7 linked regions of the Xenopus tropicalis genome follow. The protein of the gene in region 6 interacts with the protein of the main gene of each other region in a pairwise test. Links are inferred from orthologs where the notes say so. Each region holds a gene or a part of one and is shown on either strand. Other genes may lie near its edges.

Region 1 (4,014 bases), on a different chromosome or scaffold from region 6:
TAATGAAGGTACAAGTATTTCTAGGAGATCTGCTTCCTGAGGTAGCCTAGATTTGCCGCAGGTGATAAATCTCCTTGTCTCCCAGTATCCTAAGGCCCATAGGGAGATTAGTCACCTATTGTTAGATTGCCACCAGCAATAAAGTAAATTGCCGATGGGAAGACATATGCATTGCTTTGTTTTGTGAAGTTGTGCTGTTTCCTCCTGCAGGGAATTCACATTTCTGGGATTAGTTCCCAAAATTTTAGGGAGATTAGTTGGCCGCGGTAGCCAAGATTTAACCGTGGCCAACTAATCCTCCTGTGGGCTATTGCCCTTATGGTGATGGCACATGTGGAAATTAGTCTCCAAAAAATGCTTTCCCACCAGCAATAATGTAAATCACCACTGGGAAAACATACGCTTTGCTTTGTTCTTCTAAAGTTGAACGTAATTTTCTCACAAAGAATATCCAGAAGATTAGACACCTGTGGTAGAGCAGATATATCAAGGGTGACTAATTCCTATGTGTGCAGTCACCCCTAAGGCTGAGGCACATGTGGAGTTTAGTCACCTACGATTTACATTACTGCTGGTGGGAAAGCATTTTTAAGAGATTAGTAAACTGTGATAAAGCAGATTTAGCTCAAATCTCCAGGTCTCATTGCCATGGCTCTAAGCTCCCTCTTTTGTGGAATCCTAACAACAACAAGAATAAATGCATAAGAGCGCATTATCTTTGCTGGTTCCTACATTGTGTACTTCGCACCTTGGTGTAAACCTCTGCCTAAATTAACCTTACAGGAAAGTGTTAAGATCTATCGCTACAAATTGAAATAATATAAGGAGGGTAAGGCGGCACCCAGAACATTCAGGTATACTTGCACTGTAATAGATCCTACTCACCACTAGCACCAAACACAGTGCTTATCACTCTTTCCGCCCCCTCCACTCTCTCTTTCTCTCACCCTGCTGCCGCTGCCTATTTTCTATCTCTCGGCATTTCACCCTTTGACCTTGTCTGGAAATCGTCAATTTCTGAAGACGCTTTCAAGCACGGCTGATTTTTTAACTAAGAAATTGGACCCGATACTGATTTTTTCTCTCACCAGCCCTCCCTGCTCTCTAAACAGAGCAGCTCCCCACCCACAAACTGGGAGTTTTGTAGTCCCGGCTCTGAAGTTGCTTTAAGCCCTTCCCCTTCAGAAAGCAAAGGCTGCTCCTAACCCTAATCACCAACAGTCACTCGCAATCCCCCTTTCCTCTCTCACCCCCTCGCTTGCTTTCCTTATCACTCGTACAAACCACAGACTTCCTCATCTTACTTTTAAGACAAAACTCTGAAAGAACAAGAGCTTTATTATAATATTTGGATCTAAATGATATGCTTTTCATTAAACTAACCAGTAACCTGACTGCTTGAAACTAAGTTCCAGTCTTTCTCCAGCACTTCCCAGTATAAGGAAAGCGAAAAGTCTGCACTGTAGAAACTGACATTCACAGAAGCCTCTGCCCAGGAGACCACAATGAACAGCAACATAGCTGAAAAGGAGGGCTCTCAGGATGAGATCAGCCTTCCAGAAGAAGAGGTAGGTGGCTCTAATACAACCGAAATATTTTACTCATTATCCCTAGTCTGCACATGGTGTTATCCACTTGTGATGCCTGCTGATCATTCCAACTCCTATAGTTTGTTGTATAAAAATGCTTTTTTAAATGTTTCTTAAAAAGCTGTAATATTGATCAACAGAAATGTAGTTCAGTATACATGTTTGTGTGTTTACAAATGCTAAGTAAAAGCAGCTTAAATTTTGTATATTATTACATACACACACATGTATACCTTGTTATCAGTCACTGTTTGTGTGTATATATGTAGTGCGGTACCATTTTGTGGGCTTGTTGTTTTAGTAAGTGAGCAACCCTGGCTGTAGTCCCACAGTAAGATTTGTTTCTGGGGATTTGACAGATTCTATGTGTGGCAATTTAGGTCCGACCTCAGGAGTCAGTCAGTCGCATCCTCATTCATCCTTTAGGAGTGATGAGCATATGATTACCCTGTGACTTGTCAGATTTCATTTGTATGGAAAGAGTTCACATTCATCAAAATTGTATGTAATTGCATGCCTTAACTTTCATGCTGACATTCTGATGTGATCAAGCTCATGCAGTGGAGGACCACTTTCTATAGTGTGAATGTGAGATTGGTATTTTTTTAATGGGAGAAAACGACAAACTTAATTATTCTGGTTTGTAGATCAGAACAATTGCTTAGTTCTAAACAGTCAATCACATCAGCTTTTGATTGGAAGCATGATCTGCACAACTGTTGTTTTGTGAGTGCAGCATACAGTAAATCTGTTGTTTAAACAAATGTGTTCATAAATTGTTCAATAAATCCTAGGTGTCTTGAGTTTCTGGGATTTTCCTTAAAACACGGGAAGTTGTAATATATGAGTTGCAGTTCTCATTGCTGTGTATTTTTTAGGTGGTACAAAATGGTCCTTGTTTTGTCAAAATAGTAATATTAAAATTAAAAAGCCATAACCCTCTCTCACAGTTGGGTCCTTGCATTACTGTGTAGAGGAAGGAAATAGTGTTGTTAAACAATACCTCTCATGCTGCAAACAAATAAGGATAATGGATACCAGTTCTCAAGTGTGAACTAGCTCCTGCATTTCAACTATGAGATGCCCTTTAGGGCTTGTAATTACTAGCGTTTGTTTCTGCGTTTCACCGCAGGGGTGCACAGAAACAAACACATTTCATACTTCCCCATGTGCCTATGTGGTCCCTCTTCTTTACTAGGGCCTTATTGTCCAAGACAGCCCAGCAGACATTCCAGCAGGTGGAGGCCAAAAGGCAAGAGCCATGTGATCCCGCTTACTATATTAAACATTACAGGAAACAATTATAACATCCGTGAACCAATAGGGAAAAACTATTCTACCCAGGTATCTAGGTTACAGGTGCCAGGAATATGCAAAAAGAAGGGAAATCAGGCTAGTAGGGGATTCACAAACCCACAGGGCATTTAACTTACAATTCAGTAGAAGATTCAAACATCTTGAGTGTGGGAATTTTGCTTTTTAGTACCAGTACTTTTTGACCATGCACCATTCAGTGTGCGGTTCTCCTCTGTGTTTCTCAAGTCCAGGCCCAGGACAGTTGCCTATAGTTTACATACACATCACACATTTTCTTGCAAATTCGTCAATATTGGTATTTTTATATTCACTTCTTGTGTCAAATTTTCAGGTTTAACAAAATTGCATGCTAGTATGAAGATCAGCTGTTTTAAAAAAGGATTCTAGGAGCAGCTGCATTTTCCTCTGAACAGTAAGTGGAACATGCAAAGGACACTGGCTCCCTTAACAGCATTGTTTTGTCCTTGGAATAGTTGAATTCAGGTATACTGTTAGTGGCATGGTAGAACAAGGCAAATGATTAATAAATGTTTCAGTTGTTTGTAAAATAATGTGGAGAGTTTTTGATGCAAACAAAATATATATATATATATATATATATATATAAAATCACAAAATTTGGTAACAGGCACTCACAATACAGAGTCAAGGATGCCTGGGTGCAGTCCAATACGAAATAGTAAAACACAAAATAGCCGGTACCGCACTCACAGGTCTTATATAAAGATATTTATTCAAAAAATCGTGTCTAACGTTTCGGCTGCCATTGCAGCCTTTCTCAAAAAAGAAAGGCTGCAATGGCAGCCGAAACATTAGACACGATTTTTTGAATAAATATCTTTCTATAAGACCTGTGAGTGCGGTACCGGCTATTTTGTGTTTTATATATATATATATATATATATATATATATATATATATATATATACAGGATCTCTAATTTGTAAACCTGATATCCAGAAAGTTCCAAATTACAGGAAGGCCGTCTCTCCTACTGCCCATTTTAAGCAAATAATTCCAATACTTTAAAATTATTTTTTCTGTAATAATAAAATATTACCTTTTACTTGATGGTAACTAAGCTGCATAGATCCATAATGGTTGCAAA
Region 2 (3,951 bases), about 55 Mb from region 6:
CTTCCAAATCTGTGTCTGGGGTGCTCCTGTGGGTTAGCAAAGAAGCCTCTGTCCTTTGTGTTGCCAGTCCTGTGTAAACATCACCATCCACCATATTTTCTTGCCCCCTTCCAAGCTGTTCCTCTGCATTTTGGCTGTAAAGGTCTACTACTTTACTGGGCCTATGGCCAGAGACATGATCAGGCATCCTTTGTGTCCCATTTGTAGAAGTGATTGGAATATCTCTGTCTTTACCCGCATGGGGAGGAGCACAAAGTTCTGTGTTAGAATGGCATGCCAGAAGCATTTCGTTCACAGGATAGGCTACTGGCAGCTGAGAGGAATGCTGATAGAATACAGGCACTCTTCCCTTTGCAACATCCACTGGCACCACCCCCATTAGGACTGAAGGAGACTGTGCAGTGTTAAGTTTGCTTATGGAGTGGGGAGACTGAGCCTCTGAGGGTGGAGTCACACCCTCAACAAGGACAGAATTATATGGCACATAGTGAGGGACATGAGAAGCAGCTAAGTTGGCAGGAGGTGATATCACTGCTCGAGAAAGAAAGCCTGGTGGAACTGTATATGGAACTGCGTAGGGGGAACCAAGGAACTGCACAGCAGTATGTGGAATTGGAGCATAATGAATAGGTGGATAAGTAATACCTGGGTGCTGTATCAAAGGAGAAGCTACATTAAAGGATGATGGGATGGAGCTCATATTCATCACAGGATGGAGACCAGGTGGGGAAAAGGAGGCAGCAGGCACTGCAACTTTGTAAAACGTTGCATACTGATCCACAGTTACAGCTTCTGCTTCCTCCCCCGCAGCTTCATAACTAACTCCATGTCCCTGTCCTGCTGCCACATACACACTCCTCGGCCATCCTGAAGCTTCACTTGTTGTACTTTCATTAGCAGATGAGCCAGGTACCTTGGGTTCCTCCTCCACATTTACACTGTTTTGTGACAGATCCCGTTTCTTTGGTGGAAGACATTCCTGGCTCCTCTCATGTGCAGGCTTCATATTGTCTCCTACTCTGCCTGGGATCTCTGTAGTTTATTAACTTCATTGATGCCTCACAGGAATAACCTCTGATAACTCCATTTACATCCCTTGGATGTCTTGTAAACTCTAAGAGCTAAACAAAAGGGAATCTAATTAGATTAGTGATTAGCATAAGAGACACTAGAATAAAACAAATGAAAATAGCAAATCTAGAAAAATACAAATTATAGGCCTATATATAGTAACAAGAACAACATTTTCCTAGATCTAGTAACCCATAACATCCAACCAACAGGTAGCACTCAATGTTCCGTTACAGCATGAAAAACATGAGAAACACTGATGCAGCTGCTATTGGTTTCTAGACCTCAGTAAACTCTTCCCTGTCACTGCACCACCACAATAATGTCAGGATCAATAAGACAACTTATAGTGACCGACAAATGATAACAGAACAATATTCAAGAAGCAATAAACTGCAATAAGCGCTCCCCACAGCCCTCATGCCAACAGTCTATATCCCATCAATGTGATCCAATTGTTTGGCCCTCAGGCCAAATGATCAGATAAATCTAATATCGCCCACCCCAAGGTGAATATATTAGGAAAAAGTTCTGCTTTTTTTGGAGACCTTGAGTCGATCTTACAGTGTATGGCTGTCTTTTCTATTCCCTTCTTTTCATGTTCTGTAACATATCTGAAAAGGAGAATAATAGAAGAGTGCAAAGAGGAGACCTGATTTGATACATTTATTTTGTAATCAGAAGGGAACAGCAAAGTGCAGACAAAAACTGCTTTCAAATACAATTTAATTTACAAGTAAAACGTTGGATAGCACCGACCTAGGCATATAAATACATTTGCATTTGGGATTCAGGTTCTCACAAGCAGCCTACCCCATTTGATATACTAAGGACAATTTTAAAGTATTTTTCTGCAATGCTAAGACTAATATGCATTTATAAAATTACAAATACAACACAAAGCAAAGGTTTTTCTGTATCAAGCCACTGCGCACAAACACACAAAACTAACGCCCTCCCCACTCACAGGGGAAACCAATAAATATTTAACTCTGCTATAAATTATACACACGATATGTTTTCAAAGAGGATCTATTCAAACTTCTGTTTAAGGGCAACTCCACCTTCAACCCATCGTTAAAAAAGACATTCGGGCAGAAAGAGTGGGCAGCTCTTATTTTATTATTGTGTTGCAAAATGTTTAACAATTCTACTGAACACGCTAAATGTAGATATTATTCTAGTCTACTGGCTCCTGTCAAGGCCGCCAAGGAGAGGGGGGGGGGGGGGGGGGGGGAGTCGTCCTAGACCAGCGGGTTTTGAGCATTAAGGTGGGGGCCGGCAGTGCTACACCTACTTGGATACCGGCCCCCCTGCTGTCAGTGAGCTGCAGAGTTCGGGAGCTATTTAGGTTGCTACGGCGCCTGAATGTTCTTTGCCCTACTCTGCTTTATACTGCCAAATAGTCCCCCGCATTCCGTAAAACAGCCCAGCAGTCCCGAGTTCCCAAGCGCAGCCCGCAGTCCCGTATCGCTACTTACACCTCCCGTAAAACTGTTAACTGCAGGCTCCTAGCCTCCTGTCTTACAGCAAATCCCAAAGCCACAAGTCTCATCACGCGAGACTAGCGTCAGGACTAAACGTAAGCGCGATGACGCATCACGTATCCGCCTAGTGGAAGTGACGAGCCGGTGTAACCCAGTCGGACACTGCAAGTTGTTGGAGGTTCAATTGAAATCTATTTTTCCTTTGGTCGCACCTCCTACGTTTGTTGAGGACATGAAAAGAACCAGAAAATATTTTCTTGTTTTCTTGTTTATTTTTCGCCATTACCACCCAGTTTCTACCGAAGTTATGTATTTTTTTGTGCTGCTAAGAGTTGCTTACTTGTGCCAGCGAACTGGAAAAGAGGAGCCTCTTGTATACCGTCAAGATGAACAGCACTTTAACGTGCAATGTTGAACTATATATTGCTTGAGAAATACAGCCTGGCATATATAAGTTTTTAGTGTGTAGACAGAGTCCTCAGCCAGCCTAGTTTATTGTGACCCAGATGCTTTACTAGAGGCTTACATTATTCATACCCACCTACTTCTTAAATATGGGCCCAGCAAGCACAGAGGGCCCGGCGTTAGGGATTATAAATAGCAGCGATTTAGAATTCTATATAAAAGAGCCCTATATGTGAGGTCCTGCCAGCCCAAAAGCTTCTTACAGGAAGGTAATGTATTATAGTCTGGCACTTGAAGGGGTTGTTTACCTTTAAGTTAACTTTTAATATGTTCTAGAATGGCCACTTCTAAGCAACTTTTTAGTTGGTCTTCATTTTTTTTATTTTGTATTATTTGCCACCTTCTGCCTCTTTCCAGCTTTCAAAATGGCCATTGACCCCAGCAGCCCAAAAAACTATTGCTCTGCAAAGTTACAAATTTATTGTTACTTTTTTTAATCTATCTATTCAGGCCCTCTACTATTCATATATCAGTAACTCTTTCAAACCACTCCCTGGTTACTAAGGTAATTGCACCCTAGCAACCAGATAATTGCTTAAATGCCAAACTGCAGAGCTGCCGAACAAAAAGTAAAATAATTAAGAACCTACCAATAATAAAAAATGACCAATTGCAAATTAGAATAGCACTCTATATTAACTTATTGATTTTCTTGGAAAAGGCACAGTCTACTAATACTCTGTATATAGTTGCAAGAACATATAATTTTGTGCTAATGCAGGGCTGCCATCAAGATCGGGGTGGGGGCAGTTGTTTTGGGCCCCAAGGGTTTTGGATTTTAAGGGGGGGGGGGGCCTGGCTGTGCTGCACTTGGATTACCAGGTCCCCTGCCGTCAGTTGCTGCGCTGTGTACATGTTCTTTCCCCTACATAGCTGTCTCATTCACAGCTACACAGGACTGAGAGTGTGCTGAGTCTTTAGGTACCAC
Region 3 (4,111 bases), on a different chromosome or scaffold from region 6:
AGAGAGTAATTTTCTAAAACATTTTGCAATTGGTCATAATTTTTTAATTATTTCATTTTCAGTTCAGCAGCTCTGCAGTTTGGAGTTTTAGAAGCTATTTGGTTGCTAGGGTCCAAATTACCTTAGCAACCAGGGAGTGGTTTAGATGAGAGACTGATATATGAATAGGAGAGGGGCTGAATAATAATAATAAAAAAGTAACAATAACAATAAAACTGGAGCCTCACAGAGAAATAGGTTTTGGCTGCCGGGGTCAGTGACCCCCATTTGAGAGCTGCAGAGACAGAAGTAAAAGGAAAATAATAATGAAGACCAATTGAAAAGTTGCTTAGAACTGACCACATACTAAAAGTTAACTGAAAGGTGAACAAGTCCAGTTTGCTATGGCAGAATATATAAGATTATTGCAGCTATACCTGGGCCAACAAATGGCACCGGTGGAACAATCATGGGCCCCACGACACTGGCCGCAGCGGCTGCCCTCGCCTCTAGACTCTGCTGCACCTGTGAGTAAGGAGAAGCAACAAATACACATAAATATATATATATATAATATCATTCAATATGGGGGCACCGTCTGCACAGGGCAATACCCACACTAGGGTGCCCCAGGGTCATTACCCCACTACCCCCTATACATTACCTGGCTATAGGTGTTAGTGGCAATAATCGCCCGTATAACAGGCACAGCTGGGATGGGCAAGGGCACGGGATCCACTGGAGGCAGCGCCACGGGAGCTCCCAGTACTTCCTGCTCAAACCTGCAGAATGAAGAAACATGACAGGGAAGGGTGAGACAAACAGTGAGCCTTGTAGTTCTACTACACCCTTTGCTGCAGAGTCCTATGACTTGTTATGCTCTATTCTGCATAGTAGGACACCCCAATCATTTATTCACTAGAGACTGGAATGGGATATAAATCCCAAAATGCACTGGGACGTTTATTAGAGTGTTTGGGTTTATATGCCCTTTACATAGTGTAGGGCAGTGATCCCCAACCAGTGGCTCGGGGGGAACATGCTGCTCCCCAACCCCTTGGATGTTGCTCCCAGTGCCCCCAAACCAGGGAGTTATTTTTGAATTCCTGACTTGGGGGCAAGTTTTGGTTGAATAAAAACAAGATTTCCTACCAAATAAAGCCCCCTGTAAGCTGATAGGGTGCATAGAGGCCCCTAATAGCCAATCACAGCCCTTATTTGGCTCCTCCATGAACTTTTATGGTGCTTGTGGTGCTCCCCCAACCCCTTGGGCGCTGCTCCCCCAACCCCTTGGGCGCTGCTCCCCCAACCCCTTGGGCGCTGCTCCCCCAACCCCTTGGGCGCTGCTCCCCCAACCCCTTGGGCGCTGCTCCCCCAACCCCTTGGGCGCTGCTCCCCCAACCCCTTGGGCGCTGCTCCCCCAACCCCTTGGGCGCTGCTCCCCCAACCCCTTGGGCGCTGCTCCCAGTGCCCCCAAACCAGGGAGTTATTTTTGAATTCCTGACTTGGGGGCAAGTTTTGGTTGAATAAAAACAAGATTTCCTACCAAATAAAGCCCCTGTAAGCTGATAGGGTGCATAGAGGCCCCTAATAGCCAATCACAGCCCTTATTTGGCTCCTCCATGAACTTTTATGGTGCTTGTGTTGCTCCCCAACCCCTTGGGCGCTGCTCCCCCAACCCCTTGGGCGCTGCTCCCCCAACCCCTTGGGCGCTGCTCCCCCAACCCCTTGGGCGCTGCTCCCCCAACCCCTTGGGCGCTGCTCCCCCAACCCCTTGGGCGCTGCTCCCCCAACCCCTTGGGCGCTGCTCCCCCAACCCCTTGGGCGCTGCTCCCCCAACCCCTTGGGCGCTGCTCCCCCAACCCCTTGGGCGCTGCTCCCCCAACCCCTTGGGCGCTGCTCCCCCAACCCCTTGGGCGCTGCTCCCCCAACCCCTTGGGCGCTGCTCCCCCAACCCCTTGGGCGTTGCTCTCCGTGCCCCCAAACCAGGGAGTTATTTTTGAATTCCTGACTTGGGGGCAAGTTTTGGTTGAATAAAAACAAGATTTCCTACCAAATAAAGCCCCTGTAAGCTGATTGGCTATTAGGGGCCTCTATGCACCCTATCACAGCCCTTATTTGGCTCCTCCATGAACTTTTATGGTGCTTGTGTTGCTCCCCAAGTCTTTTTACATTTGACTGTGGCTCCCGAGTAAGAAAGGTTGGGGTTCCTTGGTGTAGGGGGATCAGAGAACTCTTTCCCCTGTTTCTCAGTCAAACTGTGTGTGATTATTCCTAGTGGAAATCCCCTTGAGGTGTGCTCCTCAGTGTCCACTAGGGGGAGGCACTGCGCTAAAATCCCCTTTTATCTGCAAAGGGAGCCAAATCTCCTGCCTAAGCCAGTAATACAGCCCACAATACAGGAGTGCCAAGAAGGGGTTACACTTGTTACGCTCTATTCACCCCAGTCATTTATGCACTAGAGACTGCAATGAAGTGAACTGGGACGTTTATTAGAGTGTTTGGGTTTATATGCCCTTTACATAGTATAGAGCTATATTGAAAGAGCCCCATGAGTGGCAACAGGTTAACCCCTGACACTACAGCCAGCAGGTCTGTATCACCCTAAGGAGCCAGTCAGTATGAAAGTTAACTTGCCCTTTACCATTTTAACCACAACAAACTCTCACTATACAGCTTGGCAGCTCCCTACACAGCATAGAGGATACTCACAGCGCCATCTCCGCCTCCATCGCCTTCATCTTCTCCTCCCCGCTCTTCCCCGCCATCCTGACGCTTCACAGAACGCAACCCGTTAGCCGCAAAGGTTCTAACTATCCGCCGGCGCACGGATAAGCGCGTCACCACCGCTTCCGGTCGCTCACACTGGGCGGATGACTGAACTGGAGGCGTGGAACGCAAGATCTTAGTCGTTTCATCCGCCATTTTGGTGTTTTTATATAGAAGCGCGTCACTTCCGCTTCGGGTCGCTCACACTGGGGGAATCACTGAGCTGGAGGCGTGGAACGCAAGATCTTAGTTCTTTCAACCGCCATCTTGGTGTATTTATATAGAACGGGTTTTAGCAAATAGAGTTAAATTCGCGTCTTTGTATGACACAGTTTGAAATATTTTCTAGGAATGATTGTGAAATAAAGAGTTACTCTGGAAATGTATAAGTTACATCAAATCAGGTGGTTATAGTAAATAAACTAAGGTTGATGAAGGAAATACGTAAACTTGCTTCCTTTTTACAGGCTGCCCTTTGTAGGGGACTTCATAAAAGTCTCTAATTAGGAGAAAAGCATTGAGAAGCAATGTGCCACCCCCTTGACACATAGTAACATAGTAACATAGTAAGTTAGGTTGAAAAAAGACATACGTCTATCATGTTCAACCATAATGCCTATATATAACCTGCCTAACTGCTAGTTGCCCCAGAGGAAAGCAAAAAACCCCATCTGAAGCCTCTCTAATTTGCCCCAGAGGGGAAAAACATCCCTTCCTGACTCCAAGATGGTCCCTGGGGCAACACAACCGCTAATTCATACCTCCCAACATTTTGAAAATGGAAAGAGGGACAAAAACAAATGGTGCACGCAGTGTGGCAAGTTTTTTTAACCACGCCCATTTTTTCAACCACACCCCCTAAATACCACTCCCATTTGACTAAATTTGGCAGGTTATTGAAAGTTTGAACACATTTCTGGGGGGTTTATGTGTTAATACAGTTTTGCTAATGAAGGTGAAGTTGCCCTTTAAGCTGTGAGTCTCAGTTCCCCCAAGAGACCTGTTTAGCTTATTAGTTACACTTGTATCTCAGTGCAGGGGGGGCTTTTTACCTTCTGGGCTCTCTGCCGAAAGCTACTTATTTAATTAAATGTGAGAAACAATGTATCTAAGTGCAGGTGACGCTCGTTAAGATTTCTGGGCTCTTAATTCAATTTGTATCTTTTTTAGCTTCAGTGCAAAGGGAAATGAGAGACTTTTCAGTAAGAATCCGGGACTGCAGGTTGAGCTGTCTAACAAGGGACTGTCCCGCGAAAATCGGCCCAGTTGGGAGGTATGTCGTTGTATTATTATATTGTAAGTATAATTATTATAGGGACACTGGACCTTGGTAATGACAGTTTGAAGACTGGGGCCTCTGCAA
Region 4 (3,500 bases), on a different chromosome or scaffold from region 6:
ATTTTGTCAGTTTTTATGGCTCAGCTGCTTGTTTTTGATTTTGTTCAGAAGATTCAAATCCATTACGCCCCTTAAAACTGTGCTGCAATTTTTGTTGGTGTTATTTGAGCACTCTTATGTTTTTTAAACTGTATACACAACATGTGAAAACAATATGTAATATATTTTGAAAAATGTCCATATACTTTTTTTGAAATAGTATGTTCATTTTTTTCCTTCCAGTCACCAGATTCTATTCTAAAGCACGCCAGATACCTAGGTATGGTTGGTGTTTGGTGGATCATGATCATACTGCTGACCATCTGGACATTTATTCCCCATTGGCTGGAAGTCTTTTTAGATCATAGTTGATCTGTCTAGACTGAAAATTTCACCTGCCTGCATATTTTTGACAGTCCTTGAAAGCAATTATAGCTGTGGTAAAAGGTTACCTTGTGTGAGGTGTTTTCCCATACGAATAATGAACAGCAAATCAGAGATGTAAACTGATTTTAAGCAAGCTACACTAAAAAGACATCTATAATAACTATGTCTTTGCATGCTGTTTATAATTTTGCCATAGAAGTATTTGTCCGATGCTATACATTATCTACATCCATCATCTGCCTGATCCCCCGTGTTCCTCTATGAGGGGGTTGCCATATTTGTGCTGCAGTTGTTGGCAAACCAGTCAGGTTTAGGAATTTCGAGTAGCACTTACAGAAGCAAACCGATCAGCAAAAAATGATTAACACAACCTATAGGTAACTTTTTTTCGTAGATTCATATTTTTAAAAGGTTTTTCTTGTCCGTATCACTTTTAAGAATACATTCACCACCATTTTGAGCATGACTTTACCTGCAATGTTCTATGCATTTATCTCTTCAAAGAGCATCAATTAATTTATCCCCTATACTTTTGACCTGCTATGTTCAAGTTAAAGATCTAATGATTATCTACATCCATTTACATCAGTCATCAGTGAATGTGGGGGTGCAAAATAAAGCTTTGAAATATAAAAAGCCATCAAAAGATGCTTTTACTTTGCAGTCTCCTCTATGCAACATCAAAATATATTTTTGGAACATTGAAAGTGCCTTCCAGATTTATTTACAAAAAAAAAAAAGGTCTTTCCACTTTTTTTCATAGCACCAAAACACTATTTGATACCGTTATCCTATATCCCTAAGACCTGGCATTACCCAATATGTCTGGAAAAAATTCAGGTGGCCAAGAAATTCCCGGCATAACTCACCATTTGTGATAAATAATTAGGGATTTGGATTCTGTTGAACCCTTCGTAAAGGATTTGGCCAAATAATGAACCAAATTGAAATCTAAATTAGTATATGCTAATTTAGGCTTGGAGAAAAATTTTCAACTTAAAAATTCACATGATTTTTCGGATACGGTTCAGCCAGGACCATGAATTCGGCTGAATCTGAATCCTGCCCAAAAAAGCCGAATACCGAATCGATTCAATGCATCCCTAAAAATAATGGCTTCATAGTGTAATATTTGTGGTTCCTAAAATCACTACGTTTTTGTTATGTGAAACATATCTTTATAAAAAGGCCTCTAAATATTCTGTCAAATACTATATCTACAAATTACTTTTGGAAGTAAATGATATCATTCTTTATGCTGCTATTTTTGATTTATTTGTACCTTATCAGGTTCCTGGAATGCTTCATTGCTGTGCCAACTGAGCAAAATCAAGCCCAGTTATTTATTTATTTTTTTATTTGAAAAGGCTCTGTTAAGATACGTATACAGTAATATGAGAACACCTGCAAATTGTGTTGGAGGACACATTTTGATACACGTAACACTGACTAAGTTAGTGATTTCCTTTGCAATCTTTTATAGTGAGAAATAAGATTTGACTGTGCAAATATAAGCAGTTGTTTTATTGATCTTGATTATATGTTTTTTTTTATAGGAGGAACAAAACAGAGGCAAGCCTAACTGGGAGCATCTAAATGAAGATCTGCATGTATTGATAACAGTTGAAGATGCACAAAACAGAGCAGAAATTAAGTTAAAAAGAGCAGTGGAAGAGGTTAAGAAGCTGTTGGTCCCAGCAGTAAGTATAAGTAACTTTTTTTTCTACTGGCTTACCAGAAGACCAATTACAGCAAAAGTGCAAATTAAACACCACTGTTTATTTTACTATTATAGATTGGTCAATTTACATAATAATTTTTGGAGAAGCATATGTTGGCATAGTAGCTGTACTGTACCAAATAAATACAAAGATCATTCAGTTCCTGCTACACTACAGAGCAGAATACTGAGGTCAGACTTTATTGATTGACCATTCAGCTACTGTCTGTGTGACAATGTACTTTCCTACAGGCTCATACAAGCTAAAGATACTTTAAAGGAGAAGGAAAGGTAAAAACTAAGTAAGCTTTGACAGAAAGGTCTATGTAAATACAGCCCTAAACACTCATAGAAAAGCTGCAATGAGTCCTCTATCAAAAGAAACACAGGATTTATTTTCTCCTATTTTGTAAACATGTTGTTCAGGTGTCTGGTTTCCTCTCTCAGAAACATCCTTAATTCCTGGGGAGTCTGCAGAACTCTCCCCTCTTCTGCCCCCCCCCCCACAAGAATGCTAAGAACTCCCTCCCCCTCCCTTAGGAATGTGTAATCTGAGCTTTAATGGCTAGAGTTGCAGCAGGAAGTTACTTAAAATGGCAGCTGCTGTCTTAAGCAAATGGAGAAAACCTTCTAGAGCTGTGTACTTAGGTATGATAATGCTTTCTGTAGAATAAATATATTACTCTAGGTGGCACTAATGTGGCAAATCTATTGGCAGTAAAATGTCAAAATGACTTTCCTTCTCCTTTAAAAAAAGCTATGTAAAGATAAGTACAAGATTTCCAGGCGGCCTTAAGTAAACGGTTAAAGTGCTACATTCTTAAAGGCAGCATATTCTGCTTCAGTGGTTACATATCAGCTAGAACAGTGCTGTCCAACTGGCGGCCTGCGGGCCGCATGCGGCCCTCGGCCCCCCTCTGTGTGGCCCCCCCACCTGTCTGGCTGCTTTCATGGCTTACCTTTGTGTAAGCTTTAAATTGTATCAGTACTGAGATTAACTGCCCCCCCCTGCATGGTTCACACCTCAGATTCAGGCTGTAAACCCTCTGTATTGTTTAAAAATGTAATCCCCTGTGTTGTTTACACCTTTTAATCCCTACGTTGTTCACCCCCTGCAGTGTTCACGCCTCAGGCTCAGGCTGTAATCACCCACATTGTTCCCCTGTTCACACCTCAGACTGTAGGAGTAGTAGAAACCCACAAATAATCCCTGCACATTACAAAAAGAGCATATACTGAGGTGGTACTGCAATTAAAAAGTTTTTTAATATATTGTTATTGTGCAGACTGTAGGAGCAGTGCCAGCATTGTGTCACTGTATGCTGCCTGTGTGTGCCATACACACAGGCATCATAGGGCAAGCAGAGTATGGCACACACAGGCAGGGTAGGGAAGGCAGAGTATGGCAGGTTTT
Region 5 (3,500 bases), on a different chromosome or scaffold from region 6:
AGATGCACAGTTAATGAAAGCAGGCAATAATAAACCAGCTTCCCAACATTATGAGACAAGACATGTGGTGGTGCACCCTAGTACTGATTATAGTACTCGGGATCCCTCAGGAGTTCGGACCTCAGTCATGGTAGTGCCTAACAGCAACACAACTGCCACAGACATGGATGTCTCACAAACTATTAAGAGAGAAACCTCACCTTTAGCAGCTCATAACAGGGGAAGCATACATTTAGGAAAGCAAACCCATCGGCCCTATGTTTTATCCCCACAGCAAACATTATGCCCAGAAGTAGTAAAAACTGTGGCTACATTATCTCCTCACACTGTCATCCAGACAACTCACAGTGCAGCAGAACAACTTTCTGTTGGTTTGCCTGCTGCTTTTTATGCGGGTACACAACAGCCAGTTATTGGCTATCTCAGCAGTCAGCAGCAAACCATTGGCTACCCTGGAAATTTGCCACAACACTTGGTGTTCCCTGGAACCCAGCCCTTACTTATACCTGTTGGCAATCCAGACATGGAATCATCTAGGGTTGGGGTTACACCTGGTATTGTGACGTCATCTCCCCAGTTTGCAGCAGTGCCTCATACATTTGTCACTACGCCCATTCCAAAAGGTGAAAACTACAGTGCTGAAACACTGGCAACTCAAACTGCCTACCAGGCTGCATTGGTCCCAGCTCAAATCCACCTCCCTGTTGTACAGTCTGTTGCTTCTCATATGGCAACTGCCCCTACACTGCCCCCTTACTTTATGAAAGGGTCAATCATACAGCTGGCCAATGGTGAGCTAAAGAAAGTAGAGGATTTAAAAACAGATGACTTCATACAAAGTGCAGATATTAGCAACGACTTGAAAATAGACTCCAGCACAGTGGAGAGAATTGAGAGCAGCCATAGTCCAGGCATAGCTGTGGTGCAGTTTGCTGTGGGAGAGCACCGGTCACAGGTGAGTAAAGGTTAAATTATCTTGCACTTAAAGATATTGTTGATATGGATCAAAGACAAAGTAGCTTTAGAAGCTTTTACCTAAGAGAGCGTCAGTTATTGTATTATTCTCATACAGAATATAAGGCTACTGCCACACCAGACTGATTCTCGGCCTGCATTTATCTACCCCTTTGCTTGCCTCAGCCTACTCTTATGACTGCACCTGGAGAAACTGCATGCGCCGGATGCAGACACATGGAGCAGATTTCATCACTGAAATGCATACTAATGCATTTTTAGTGCCAAAATCTGCTCCATGTGCCTGCACCTTGGCCAACTTTTTGGTTCTGGGTGCAGTCGCAAAAGTAGGCTGAGGCAAACATAGATGCTGATTATCATCCTGGTGTGGCATTACCCTAAGGGGTATATTTATCATGCTGTGTAAAAAGTGGAGTAAAACATCACCGGTGGTGTTGCTCATAGAAGCCAATCAGATGCTTTTCTTTCATTTTGTAACTGTTGAAATCTAATTGCTGATTGGTTGCCCTGGGCAACATCACCGGTAATGTTTCACTCCACTTTTTACACAGTATGATAAATATACCCCTAAATCTTTTAACCTATATGAAGTGGACATCTGTTTGTTAAAGTAGGGTAGTATGGAACAAAGCTGGTGTCAGATGAAGGCTGTTACTATATAGCTGTATTTCTTAACCTTTGGTCCCCAGATGCTGTTGAAATAAAACTCCAGAATTCCTCAACAGATAATCAGGGGTTAAAACCTACTAGGAGGTGCAGACCAACAATATTTAGGGATCTAAGAAGGGTCATATTGGTTTCCATTGTCATGTGCAGGATCTGTTATTCATAATCCCTGGGAATTGAGGTTTTATAGACAAAAGATTCATGTACTTTGCAATGCAATGAATCAACCTGCTAAACATTTTGTTGGGTTACATTATTCTGTTTGCACTCTCTCACACTGGGGCTGTTCAAGAGGAGCAATGAATAAAAGAATAAGCTTTTAAAAAAAATTCGACAGGAAAGAATGACACAACCACTTTTTGAAAAAAAATATTTTTTTAAAACCACAAATCTAATGAAATCATAAAACTAGGTTGGGCAAGAAGTCCCTATATACAGTAGGCCAAATAGTGAGTACAACTACAACTTTGAAATGTATGCAGATTTAAGTAATACATACACGTAACAGACACCTCTCAGTTTTCAAACATAAAAAGCCATATACAGTCTAAAAATGTTTATATCAGGGTTAAATGAATAGCACTAAATATGAAAAAGCCATTTTGGCTACAATATAATTCCTGTGCCCAACTGAACTGGTTTAATTTATTACATTTTATACCAGGCTGCCTAACACTGATTGAGCCCACCATAAGTGGCAGATTGAAAAATGTTACACATTATTATAGTCATTTATATTCTTTACAAAGATCAAATATTGAGAAAATGTTTACATCAAAATCTCTTTCCAGTTTGTTAAAGGTGATACTGTATTTTATTGTTTCATTAACTTCTATAGTAAAACAGTGGTAAAAACTTGCACCTACAATAAATTCCCCCGCCCACCTTTTCCTAAAAGACAAGTTTTTTTTATCACGTTATAAAAAAAAATTATATATATACAGCCTCCCACAAATGCACTGCACATCATACATTTTCAATGGCATTAAAGCCAAGTGCAAAGTGCAAAAGCCCACTCAAAATTGATATATGTATATTTATTGATATAACACATTTCTAAGAACTGAGTAGAAGATTGGCCATATAAGACTCTTATGCCTGCCCATAATAACATCTTCAGATAACTAATATCCTACAATTGTGCAATGGTGAAACAAGGAGTTCACAAAACAGGTACACTTGGCATTGCACATGGGGATAATTAACAGCTTTTCCTCTCTCAGAAACATCCTTAATTCCAGTGTCTGCGCAGTTCTCTCCCCTCTCCTGCTAAGAAGTCCCTTCCCTTTCCCTTAGGAATGTGTAATCTGAGCTATAACGGCTAGACTGCAGGCAGGAAGCTACTTAAAATGGCAGCTGCTATCTTAATCAAACGGAGAAAGCTTCTAAAGCTATTTACTCTGGTATGGTAATGGTTTCTGCAGAATAAATATATTGTTCTAGGTGGCACTAATGTGGCAAATCTATTGGCAATAAAATGCCAAAATAACTTTCCTTCTCCTTTAAGTCTGCTGAGACATCATTTAAATATTAAATAAACCCAATAGGTTTGTTTTGTCTCCAATAAGGAGTAATTATATCATAGTTGGGATCAAGTACAAGGTACTGTTTTATTATTACAGATAAAAAGGAAATTAAAAATGATTTCCTTATAATGGAGTCTATGGGAGACAGCCTTTCCTAACTCTGGAACTTTCTGGATAACCGGGTTCCGGATAATGTTCTTATAAATATCTTTATTTGATGTTCCTCTTGCATATCATTCCATTTTTTATTAACATTTTTGATTCTTAGGTTCACTGAACATATCAAACAGACAGCATAATGGGGAAGCTGCAGAAAATATGTGAATAATGAAA
Region 6 (4,187 bases):
AACCCCTGTGTGTCTTCACCCTAAAGGGATGTTGGGAAATTGCTTGTAGAACTATTATGGCTTTCTTTCCATCTGTGGAATCAGGTATGTTTGTGTAGAAAAAATACATTTATATTTATTTCTAAAAGTTCATATAGTGTTTAACACCTTAAAGTTGCATAGTAGACAGTGGTAATAAATGCATTTTGCAATTGGTCTTTTTTTATTTGTTTTTTTTTTTAGCTTCAAGATGGTTGCTAGGGCTTATTTTCCATAGCAGCCAGGCAGTAGTTAGGAAGTCAGAATGCAGTATAAGTAGGAGATGACCTAAGTAGAAAAAAACAAAATGAGATTAACTTTAAAAATGCAACATTACTGGTGGGTCTCGAAAATGTTATAATAGGTTATGAAAAGTGAAAAAGTTATTTTAACATTGAAACATTGAAACATTTCAATTAACATTGAAATTATCCTTTAACTGTATCTTAACATGGCAGATCTGACCAATGTTGTGCCCATATTTCTAGGCATTCTAGTCAAAGTAATTGCAAATACCGTGTGGTATGGGGGAACCCAAATATGACCAGTGATGGTAATATTTAGTTGTATATTATTGGTGTATGTCTCCGGTTTTACCTTCATTTGCAGTGTTCAGCTTGTTGCATCACAAACACGTTGTTTGTCCAAATTGCATAAACATGCCATGGTACTGTCCCTTTATGTGAAGGTGTATGCAGTTTTAGGGAAGGCTGGCTGAGTATGTACAGTCTGTAGCTGAGTGTTGCCATGTAGAGCTGCTGCGAGGGTCTGTAAGTGCCTCATGTATCCGTTTCAGTCTGTAAGGTTCGCCTGCAGCATTACTCGCCCGCAGCAGTTATTCCTCCCTTCCTGCTGAAAAACAATCAGTCAATTAAATCTGTCTTTTTCATTTCATTGGCAGCCTGATCTGTGATGGGGGTCATGCCGTGCCATAGCCATGCTTTGGTTTTCTTCCTCCTCCCCAAATTAAATACTGTAATTTAATTTTAGCATTATTTCACCCTCTTTATTTCACCTAAAAGCCACGTCCAGTAAATGTCTTATCTGTAATGTTCTTTGTATGTTATTCTGTTACACAGATGTCAGTCTCCTGTTTGTCTCCTTTATGTCTGCTTTTTTACTGTTGCAGATTTTCTTTTTTTTCTCCCAATTATTTCTCCTGTTTGCCATGTGTAATGAGAGATGTCCCTTCCAGCCAGCCATGCAGGAGAGGAGGGGGAGGGAAAGGAAGAGAGAGGAGGGAGCAGGGTCTGGGAGGGGGAGGAAGGGGAGGGAGGAGTGGCAGAGTGGTGATAAATTACCCCTGGTGTCAGAAGGAGGAGCTTGATCCTGAGAGAGAGAAAGAGAGCAAGGCAGCAAAGAAAGATAGGAAGAAAGGAAGGAGACAGACACAAGGACAAAGAATTACACCGGGATCCTAAGCATTAGCCCCCTTTAGACTTCAGTTCGAGGTGCTCAGGGAGCTTACTGTGCTCCCCTATCTGCTTTGTCCTTTCCTCTTCTGCTGGTTTATGGAGAAGAATAAAATGGTTTCGCAGGTAAGGGCTGCAATGTCCCTGTGTCTGTTTTCCTTCCCTCTCTTCCTCAGTCTGCATGATTCCCTCCCCCCTTTCCTATTTACCTCTCCCCATCCTTTGTGTTTCTGTCTTTGTTACTGCTGCTAATTAGTACCATGTGGGGCTTTTCCACTCCTTCCCCATATCTGCCATTTCCCTCACTGTACTACAGATCAGAATAACATTCGCTCACAGCACACCTCTCACCCTCTGCTCAACCCCAGCTACATTTCCTAATCCATAACTGGCATTTCTGCCTCACCCCCCCCCTCGTCCTCAGTATTCCTAAACCAAACCCGTTCATAGTCCTTAAAATTCATAATGGCGTTTCTTACGAACCTGCGTGGAGGCTCGCTGTTTTATTGCTTAAAGCTATATTTTTGTTGTTTTTATACCTATTGTCTGCTCCCATGCATGTGACACAGAACTGCCTTTGTGTATTTATAGAAAGGCATATATGTATAAAATGCATTTTAGTTGGGGGGAAAATGACATTTATTGCTTTAAACAACTACAGTCTTTCTGTAAATGTTGTTCAGTGCTGTTCAGATGTATCTCACCCAAATATACACGGGGCATTCCCAAGATATCACTGGGCGTGCAGGGAATCCTATGCAGAGTGCTCCGCAGCAGTCTGCGATTCCAGTTAAAGGTGCTTATTATATCCACGTTACAGGGAGCGGGACAGCAATTTGAAGGTGAAAGTAATCAGGTGGTAGGCGGATGAGTGGCATACACACAGCCATTCAGCTTGAAATATGTTAACCTGGTGCAATGGGAAAGCTTGGAGGTTCTGAGGATTCCTACTACATGGCTAAGATTGGCAACCCTTGTTGCAGGGACAACACATTTATATAAAGGAAGGGAATTTATGTTTGTTTTTTTCTCTGTATTATACTGGTATAAGCAACCTTGCATTCTGCATTCATTTTTACTGGTATTTCTGAACAGAAATATAATATACAACAGGGAAAATAAGTATTGAACACATAAACATTTTTCTCAGTAAATATATTATTGATGGTGCTATTGACATGAAATTTATACCAAATGTTGGTAAAAACCCAAGTAATTCACACATATAAAGAAATCAAAACAAATAAGTCCTTAAATGAAGTAATATGTAATAAAGTCAAATGACACAGGGAATAAGTATTGAACACATGAAGAAAAGGAGGTGCAAAAAGGCATGGAAGGCCAAGAAACCTGCTGAAATCTGTCAGTATTTAGAAAGCAATCCTGCCCCCTATCAGTGCAAATTAATATCAGCTAGTTTAGTCCTAATTGATGGCCTATAAAAAGGTTTCTTATTACCAAGATATTGCACAAAGAGCATCTCATGATGGGTAAAAGCAACTTTGCAACCTTATTGTTGCAAAACATACTGATGGCATTGGTTACAGACGTATTTAGTGTGCACTGCTGTGGCCATAATCCGGAAGTGGAAAGAACATCATTTGACCCAAAACCGGCCACAATCAGGTGCTTCTCGCAAGATTTCTGACAGAGGAGTCAAAAGAAGAGTCAGAGGAATTGCCCAAGAGCCAAGGATCACTTGTGGAAAGCTTCAGAAAGACCTTGAATTTACAGGTACAGTTGTTTCAAAGGAAACAGTAAGTAATGTGCTCAACCAACATGGCCACTATGCATGCTCACTGTGCCAGACTCCACTGTTGAAGCTTGTTTAAAGTTTGCTGCACAACATTTGAACACGCCAATGAAATTCTCTTTGGATGTCATTGCACACATAATGTTTGGAGGAGAAATGGCACTACACATCACCCCTAAAACACCATACCAACAGTGAAGTTTGGAGGTGGGAACATCATGGTGTGGGGCTGTATTTCAGTATATGGTACTGGCAGACTTCATATAAATGAAGGAAGGATGAATGGAGAAATGTACCGGGACATTCTTAATAAGAATTTGCTGCCATCTACCAGGATGCTGAAGATGAAAGTAGGGATGACATTTCAGCAAGGCAATGATCCCAAACACACAGCCAAGGAAACTCTCAATAGCTGCTAGAATCAATCAATCACCCAACTTGAATCCAATTGAAACTGAAGATCAAAGGTTATAGAAGAGGACCCTGGAATCTTGAAGATTTGAAGACATTTTGTGTGGAAGAATGGGCCAAAATCACACCTGAGAAATGCATGTGACAAGTTTCTCTATACAGGGGGTGCCTTGAATTTGTCATTACCAAGAGCTTTTCTACTAAGAATTAAAGGAAAACTATACCCCCAAACAATGTAGGTCTCTATACAAATATATTGCATAAACGAACTCGTATGTAAAACCCTGCTTCATCTAAATAAACCATTTTCATAAAAATATACTTTTGATAGTAGTATGTGCCATTGGATAATCCTAAATAGAAAATTGCCATTTTAAGAATTAAGGGCTGCCTCCTGGGATCATAGGATTTACAGTGCACGCACACAAGCCAAGGCACACATACACACTAGGCCAATTAATGGACAGAGTTCTGCCTTTTGCCCCCACACTTCTTCCTGTTACAGATAGAGCTGCATTATTTCTGGTCATGTGATCCCTGAGGGAGCACTAAGCCCATCACTAAATGGTGGATCAAGGGAAAGGATGTAAGGG
Region 7 (4,279 bases), on a different chromosome or scaffold from region 6:
GGGTAACGGGGGACGTTCCCCTGTGGGGCTGTGTAACTGACTGGGGGGAGGCTCGGGGGGTAACGGGGGATGTTCCCCTGGGGCTGTGTAACTGATGGGGGAGCTCGGGGGGTAACGGGGATGTTCCCCTGGTGGGGCTGTGTAACTGACTGGGGGGAGCTCGGGGGTAACGGGGGCTAACGGGGACGTTCCCCTGTGGGGCTGTGTAACTGACTGGGGGGAGCTCGGGGGGTAACGGGGGACGTTCCCTGTGGGCTGTGTAACTGACTGGGGGGAGCTCGGGGGTAACGGGGGGTATGTTCCCTGTGGGGCTGTGTAACTGACTGGGGGGAGCTCGGGGGGTAACGGGGGATGTCCCTGTGGGGCTGTGTAACTGACTGGGGGGACTCGGGGTAACGGGGGACGTTCCCTGTGGGGCTGTGTAACTGACTGGGGAGCTCGGGGAAGCCGGGTAACGGGGGACGTTCCTGTGGGGCTGTGTAACTGACTGGGGGGAGCTCGGGGGGAAGCTCGGGGGGGTAACGGGGGACGTTCCCCTGTGGGGCTGTGTAACTGACTGGGGGGAGCTCGGGGGTAACGGGGGACGTTCCCTGTGGGGCTGTGTAACTGACTGGGGACTCGGGGGAAGCTCGGGGGTAACGGGGTTCCCCTGTGGGGCTGTGTAACTGACTGGGGGGAGCTCGGGGGGTAACGGGGGACGTTCCCCTGTGGGGCTGTGTAACTGACTGGGGGAGCTCGGGGGGGGGTAACGGGGGACGTTCCCCTGTGGGGCTGTGTAACTGACTGGGGGGAGCTCGGGGGGTAACGGGGACGTTCCCCTGTGGGGCTGTGTAACTGACTGGGGGGCTCGGGGGTAACGGGGACGTTCCCCTGTGGGCTGTAACTGACTGGGGGAGCTTGGGGGGTAACGGGGGACGTTCCCTGTGGGGCTGTGTAACTGACTGGGGGGAGCTCGGGGGGTAACGGGGGAATCTTTATATCATTTCAGTTGGTTTCTGTGATTTATTTTGTACGGTGGTTGAATTATCGGTGTTTCTATTCCGTCCGTTTCCCACAAGGGTCACTGACCCTATCGACCACTAAACAGAACTCCTCTGATTGTTCCACTTCTATAGTTACGCTACCTGGTTACTAAGGTAATGGAGGCATAGCAACCACAATGCAGCTGCAATTTTTAAGCCTTGAAGTTCCAGATAAAAAAAACAAATCATAAAAACCACAGGTTCTTAGCTGAATGGGGAGTAACCCGAGTGGGGGCCCGACCTGCCCCTGCCCTTACTACCCCAGACTAATATTGCCCCCCCCCCAAGGTTATTAACCCCCACACCCCACACCCCACACTGCAGCCCAACCCACACTGCTCGCCTTGGGGGGTACAAGAGGGTAATTTGCCCCTAGAGCAGGGTAAATAGTGTCGGTTGCTGGGAGTTGTGGGACTATTGGAGGGGGGGGGGGGGCAGGAAGTCCCGCCCCCCATTTATAGCGCCCCCTGGGGCGGAACCTCCAATCACTTCGCTCTGTTCTCCCGGCTGAACGCGGAAGCTGAAAGTGTTGGGACCGGAAGTGAGTATGACGCAGTTCCGATCATGGCGGCCCCGGGAATGGAGCTGCTTTTCTCTCTGGTTTCCGCCGATATTTCCCGCCCGCCGGATCCGCTGATCTGTTTCATCCACTGGGAGTTAATCAGCCGCCGCCTGCGGTGCCTGGGCCGGGGGGAGGAGGTGAGAATAAAGCCCGGCACCCCCTCCCCTGAGTGTGAGTGAGGGCTGAGTGTGAGTGAGGGCTGAGTGTGTGTTACTACACAGTAAGGGGGGCTCGGCCTGTATCCGCTAATGGGGGAGGGGCTGAAACTTTATTATACAGTCTGTGTGTGAGTGTAACAACCCGCCCCCTCTCCTGGTGCCCCGCCCCCTCTCCTGGTGCCCCGCCCCCTCAGCCTGCAGCCTTGTGCCTTTATATGGGGGGCACAGAACCCCTCAGTGACTGCTAATATCCTTATCATTTACAGTAGGGGGCACATTATCCCTTATAATACATGAGTGATACTCAGAGTTCCCTGTATAACTCAGCCTGCAGCCTTGTGCCTTTATATGGGGGGCACAGAACCCCTCAGTGACTGCTAATATCCTTATCATTTACAGTAGGGGGTACATTATCCCTTATAATACATGAGTGATACTCAGAGTTCCCTGTATAACTCAGCCTGCAGCCTTGTGCCTTTATATGGGGGGCACAGAACCCCTCAGTGACTGCTAATATCCTTATCATTTACAGTAGGGGGTACATTATCCCTTATAATACATGAGTGATACTCAGAGTTCCCTGTATAACTCAGCCTGCAGCCTTGTGCCTTTATATGGGGGGCACAGAACCCCTCAGTGACTGCTAATATCCTTATCATTTACAGTAGGGGGTACATTATCCCTTATAATACATGAGTGATACTCAGAGTTCCCTGTATAACTCAGCCTGCAGCCTTGTGCCTTTATATGGGGGGCACAGAACCCCTCAGTGACTGCTAATATCCTTATCATTTACAGTAGGGGGTACATTATCCCTTATAATACATGAGTGATACTCAGAGTTCCCTGTATAACTCAGCCTGCAGCCTTGTGCCTTTATATGGGGGGCACAGAACCCCTCAGTGACTGCTAATATCCTTATCATTTACAGTAGGGGGTACATTATCCCTTATAATACATGAGTGATACTCAGAGTTCCCTGTATAACTCAGCCTGCAGCCTTGTGCCTTTATATGGGGGGCACAGAACCCCTCAGTGACTGCTAATATCCTTATCATTTACAGTAGGGGGTACAGTATCCCTTATAATACATGAGTGATACTCAGAGTTCCCTGTATAACTCAGCCTGCAGCCTTGTGCCTTTATATGGGGGGCACAGAACCCCTCAGTGACTGCTAATATCCTTATCATATACAGTAGGGGGTACATTATCCTTTCGATGCAGACTATGTGTCGCCCCCCGCAGGCAGCAGCGCAGGAGTCGGGGTCGGAGCGCCTCCCGGAGGGATGGGCACACAGTACGGACCTGTACACGCTGCGCTACGGGAGCCCAAACTCACAGTTTTTGCTGAAAGCCCTGACAGTAGAGGGCGCTGTGATTGTGCATCTCATGGTAAGGAGAATGCCCCCGGGGCACTAACCCACTCTGCCAGTACAATGCTGTGCCGGTGTGCCAGCCAATGAAACAGGAGCCCATTGATTCTGAGCAGCTGATTGGCTCTCTCCCACAGGACATGCAGACGGAGAAGGTTGCGGATGTGACGCTGCAAGTGTCCCGGTTCATTGACTCCGCCCACCTGCAGGAATACCCCAGGTCAGAGGCTGGGGGGCCCCGGGGGGGGGGGAGGTTATGGTGGGGTTCCCCTGGCTGCCGTTACATCAGGTAGGCGGGGGGTTATGTGGGGTTCCCCTGGGCTGCCGTTACACAGGCTGGGGGGGGTTATGGTGGGGTTCCCGGCTGGCTGCCGTTACACAGGTAGGGGGGGATATATAGGTGGGGTTCCCCTGGTTCTGCCGTACAGACACAGGTACGGGGGGGGTTATGGCTGGCGCTTCCCCTGGCTGCCCGTTACACAGGTGGGGGGGGTTCATCGGTGGGGTTCCCCTGAGCTGCCGTCTCACACAGGATAGGGGGGGGTTATGGTTGGGGTTACCCCTGGCTGCCGTTACACAGGTAGGGGGGGGTTATGGTGGGGTTCCCCTGGCTGCCGTTACACAGGTAGGGGGGGGTTATGGTGGGGTTCCCCTGGCTGCCGTTACAGCAGGTGGGGGGGTTATGGTGGGTTCCCCTGGCTGCCGTTACACATGTAGGGGGGTTATGGTGGGGTTCCCCTGGCTGCCGTAAATAAGAATAAATACACAGGTGTGGGGGGAGATATGGTGGGGTTCCCCTGGCTGCCGTTACACAGGTGGGGGGGTTATGGTGGGGTTCCCTGGCTGGTAGAACCGTTACACAGGTAGGGTTATGGTGGGGTTCCCCTGGCTGCCGTTACACAGGTGGGTAGGGGGGGGTTATGGTGGGGTTCCCCTGGCTGCCGTTACACAGGTAGGGGGGGGTTATGGTGGGGTTCCCCTGGCTGCCGTTACACAGGTAGGGGGGTTATGGTGGGCGTTACACATTTAGTGGTGGGGTGTCCCTGGCTGCCGTTACACAGGTGGGGGGTTATGGTGGGGTTCCCTGGCTGCCGTTACACAGGTAGGGGGGGGGTTATGGTGGGGTTCCCCTGGCTGCCATTACACAGGTAGGGGGGGTTATG

What was found.
Region 1: the proteins of rbfox2 (region 6) and rbpms interact in binary tests that used the Homo sapiens proteins (3 or more experiments, as listed by UniProt). The link is inferred for Xenopus tropicalis from reciprocal best matches to the Homo sapiens genes RBFOX2 and RBPMS.
Region 2: the proteins of rbfox2 (region 6) and atxn1l interact in binary tests that used the Homo sapiens proteins (3 or more experiments, as listed by UniProt). The link is inferred for Xenopus tropicalis from reciprocal best matches to the Homo sapiens genes RBFOX2 and ATXN1L.
Region 3: the proteins of rbfox2 (region 6) and rbm42 interact in a two-hybrid assay, tested with the Homo sapiens proteins (2 studies listed by BioGRID and IntAct). The link is inferred for Xenopus tropicalis from reciprocal best matches to the Homo sapiens genes RBFOX2 and RBM42.
Region 4: the proteins of rbfox2 (region 6) and qki interact in binary tests that used the Homo sapiens proteins (3 or more experiments, as listed by UniProt). The link is inferred for Xenopus tropicalis from reciprocal best matches to the Homo sapiens genes RBFOX2 and QKI.
Region 5: the proteins of rbfox2 (region 6) and atxn1 interact in binary tests that used the Homo sapiens proteins (3 or more experiments, as listed by UniProt). The link is inferred for Xenopus tropicalis from reciprocal best matches to the Homo sapiens genes RBFOX2 and ATXN1.
Region 7: the proteins of rbfox2 (region 6) and psmf1 interact in a two-hybrid assay, tested with the Homo sapiens proteins (2 studies listed by BioGRID and IntAct). The two-hybrid records come from large-scale screens. The link is inferred for Xenopus tropicalis from reciprocal best matches to the Homo sapiens genes RBFOX2 and PSMF1.

What each region holds. Positions count from the first base shown.
Region 1 is NC_030677.2:83,961,183-83,965,196, reverse strand, and holds the start of rbpms (RNA-binding protein with multiple splicing), read left to right. Parts: upstream 1-1,214; 5' UTR 1,215-1,505; coding exon 1,506-1,568; intron 1,569-4,014.
Region 2 is NC_030680.2:59,918,800-59,922,750, reverse strand, and holds the start of atxn1l (ataxin-1-like), read right to left. Parts: upstream 2,801-3,951; 5' UTR 2,553-2,800; intron 2,528-2,552; exon of another isoform or gene 2,456-2,527; intron 1,122-2,455; 5' UTR 1,007-1,121; coding exon 1-1,006. UniProt on the Homo sapiens protein: Chromatin-binding factor that repress Notch signaling in the absence of Notch intracellular domain by acting as a CBF1 corepressor. Binds to the HEY promoter and might assist, along with NCOR2, RBPJ-mediated repression.
Region 3 is NC_030683.2:128,977,846-128,981,956, reverse strand, and holds the start of rbm42 (RNA-binding protein 42), read right to left. Parts: upstream 2,801-4,111; 5' UTR 2,748-2,800; coding exon 2,692-2,747; intron 762-2,691; coding exon 644-761; intron 505-643; coding exon 417-504; intron 1-416. UniProt on the Homo sapiens protein: Binds (via the RRM domain) to the 3'-untranslated region (UTR) of CDKN1A mRNA.
Region 4 is NC_030681.2:54,618,383-54,621,882, forward strand, and holds part of qki (protein quaking), read left to right. Parts: intron 1-1,922; coding exon 1,923-2,066; intron 2,067-3,500. UniProt on the Homo sapiens protein: RNA reader protein, which recognizes and binds specific RNAs, thereby regulating RNA metabolic processes, such as pre-mRNA splicing, circular RNA (circRNA) formation, mRNA export, mRNA stability and/or translation.
Region 5 is NC_030682.2:93,429,300-93,432,799, forward strand, and holds part of atxn1 (ataxin-1), read left to right. Parts: coding exon 1-955; intron 956-3,500. UniProt on the Homo sapiens protein: Chromatin-binding factor that repress Notch signaling in the absence of Notch intracellular domain by acting as a CBF1 corepressor. Binds to the HEY promoter and might assist, along with NCOR2, RBPJ-mediated repression. Binds RNA in vitro.
Region 6 is NC_030680.2:115,226,648-115,230,834, reverse strand, and holds the start of rbfox2 (RNA binding protein fox-1 homolog 2), read left to right. Parts: upstream 1-1,387; 5' UTR 1,388-1,529; coding exon 1,530-1,556; intron 1,557-4,187. UniProt on the Homo sapiens protein: RNA-binding protein that regulates alternative splicing events by binding to 5'-UGCAUGU-3' elements. Prevents binding of U2AF2 to the 3'-splice site.
Region 7 is NC_030686.2:690,903-695,181, forward strand, and holds the start of psmf1 (proteasome inhibitor PI31 subunit), read left to right. Parts: upstream 1-1,479; 5' UTR 1,480-1,586; coding exon 1,587-1,721; intron 1,722-2,939; exon of another isoform or gene 2,940-2,961; coding exon of another isoform or gene 2,962-2,988; coding exon 2,989-3,135; intron 3,136-3,253; coding exon 3,254-3,336; intron 3,337-4,279. UniProt on the Homo sapiens protein: Plays an important role in control of proteasome function. Inhibits the hydrolysis of protein and peptide substrates by the 20S proteasome. Also inhibits the activation of the proteasome by the proteasome regulatory proteins PA700 and PA28.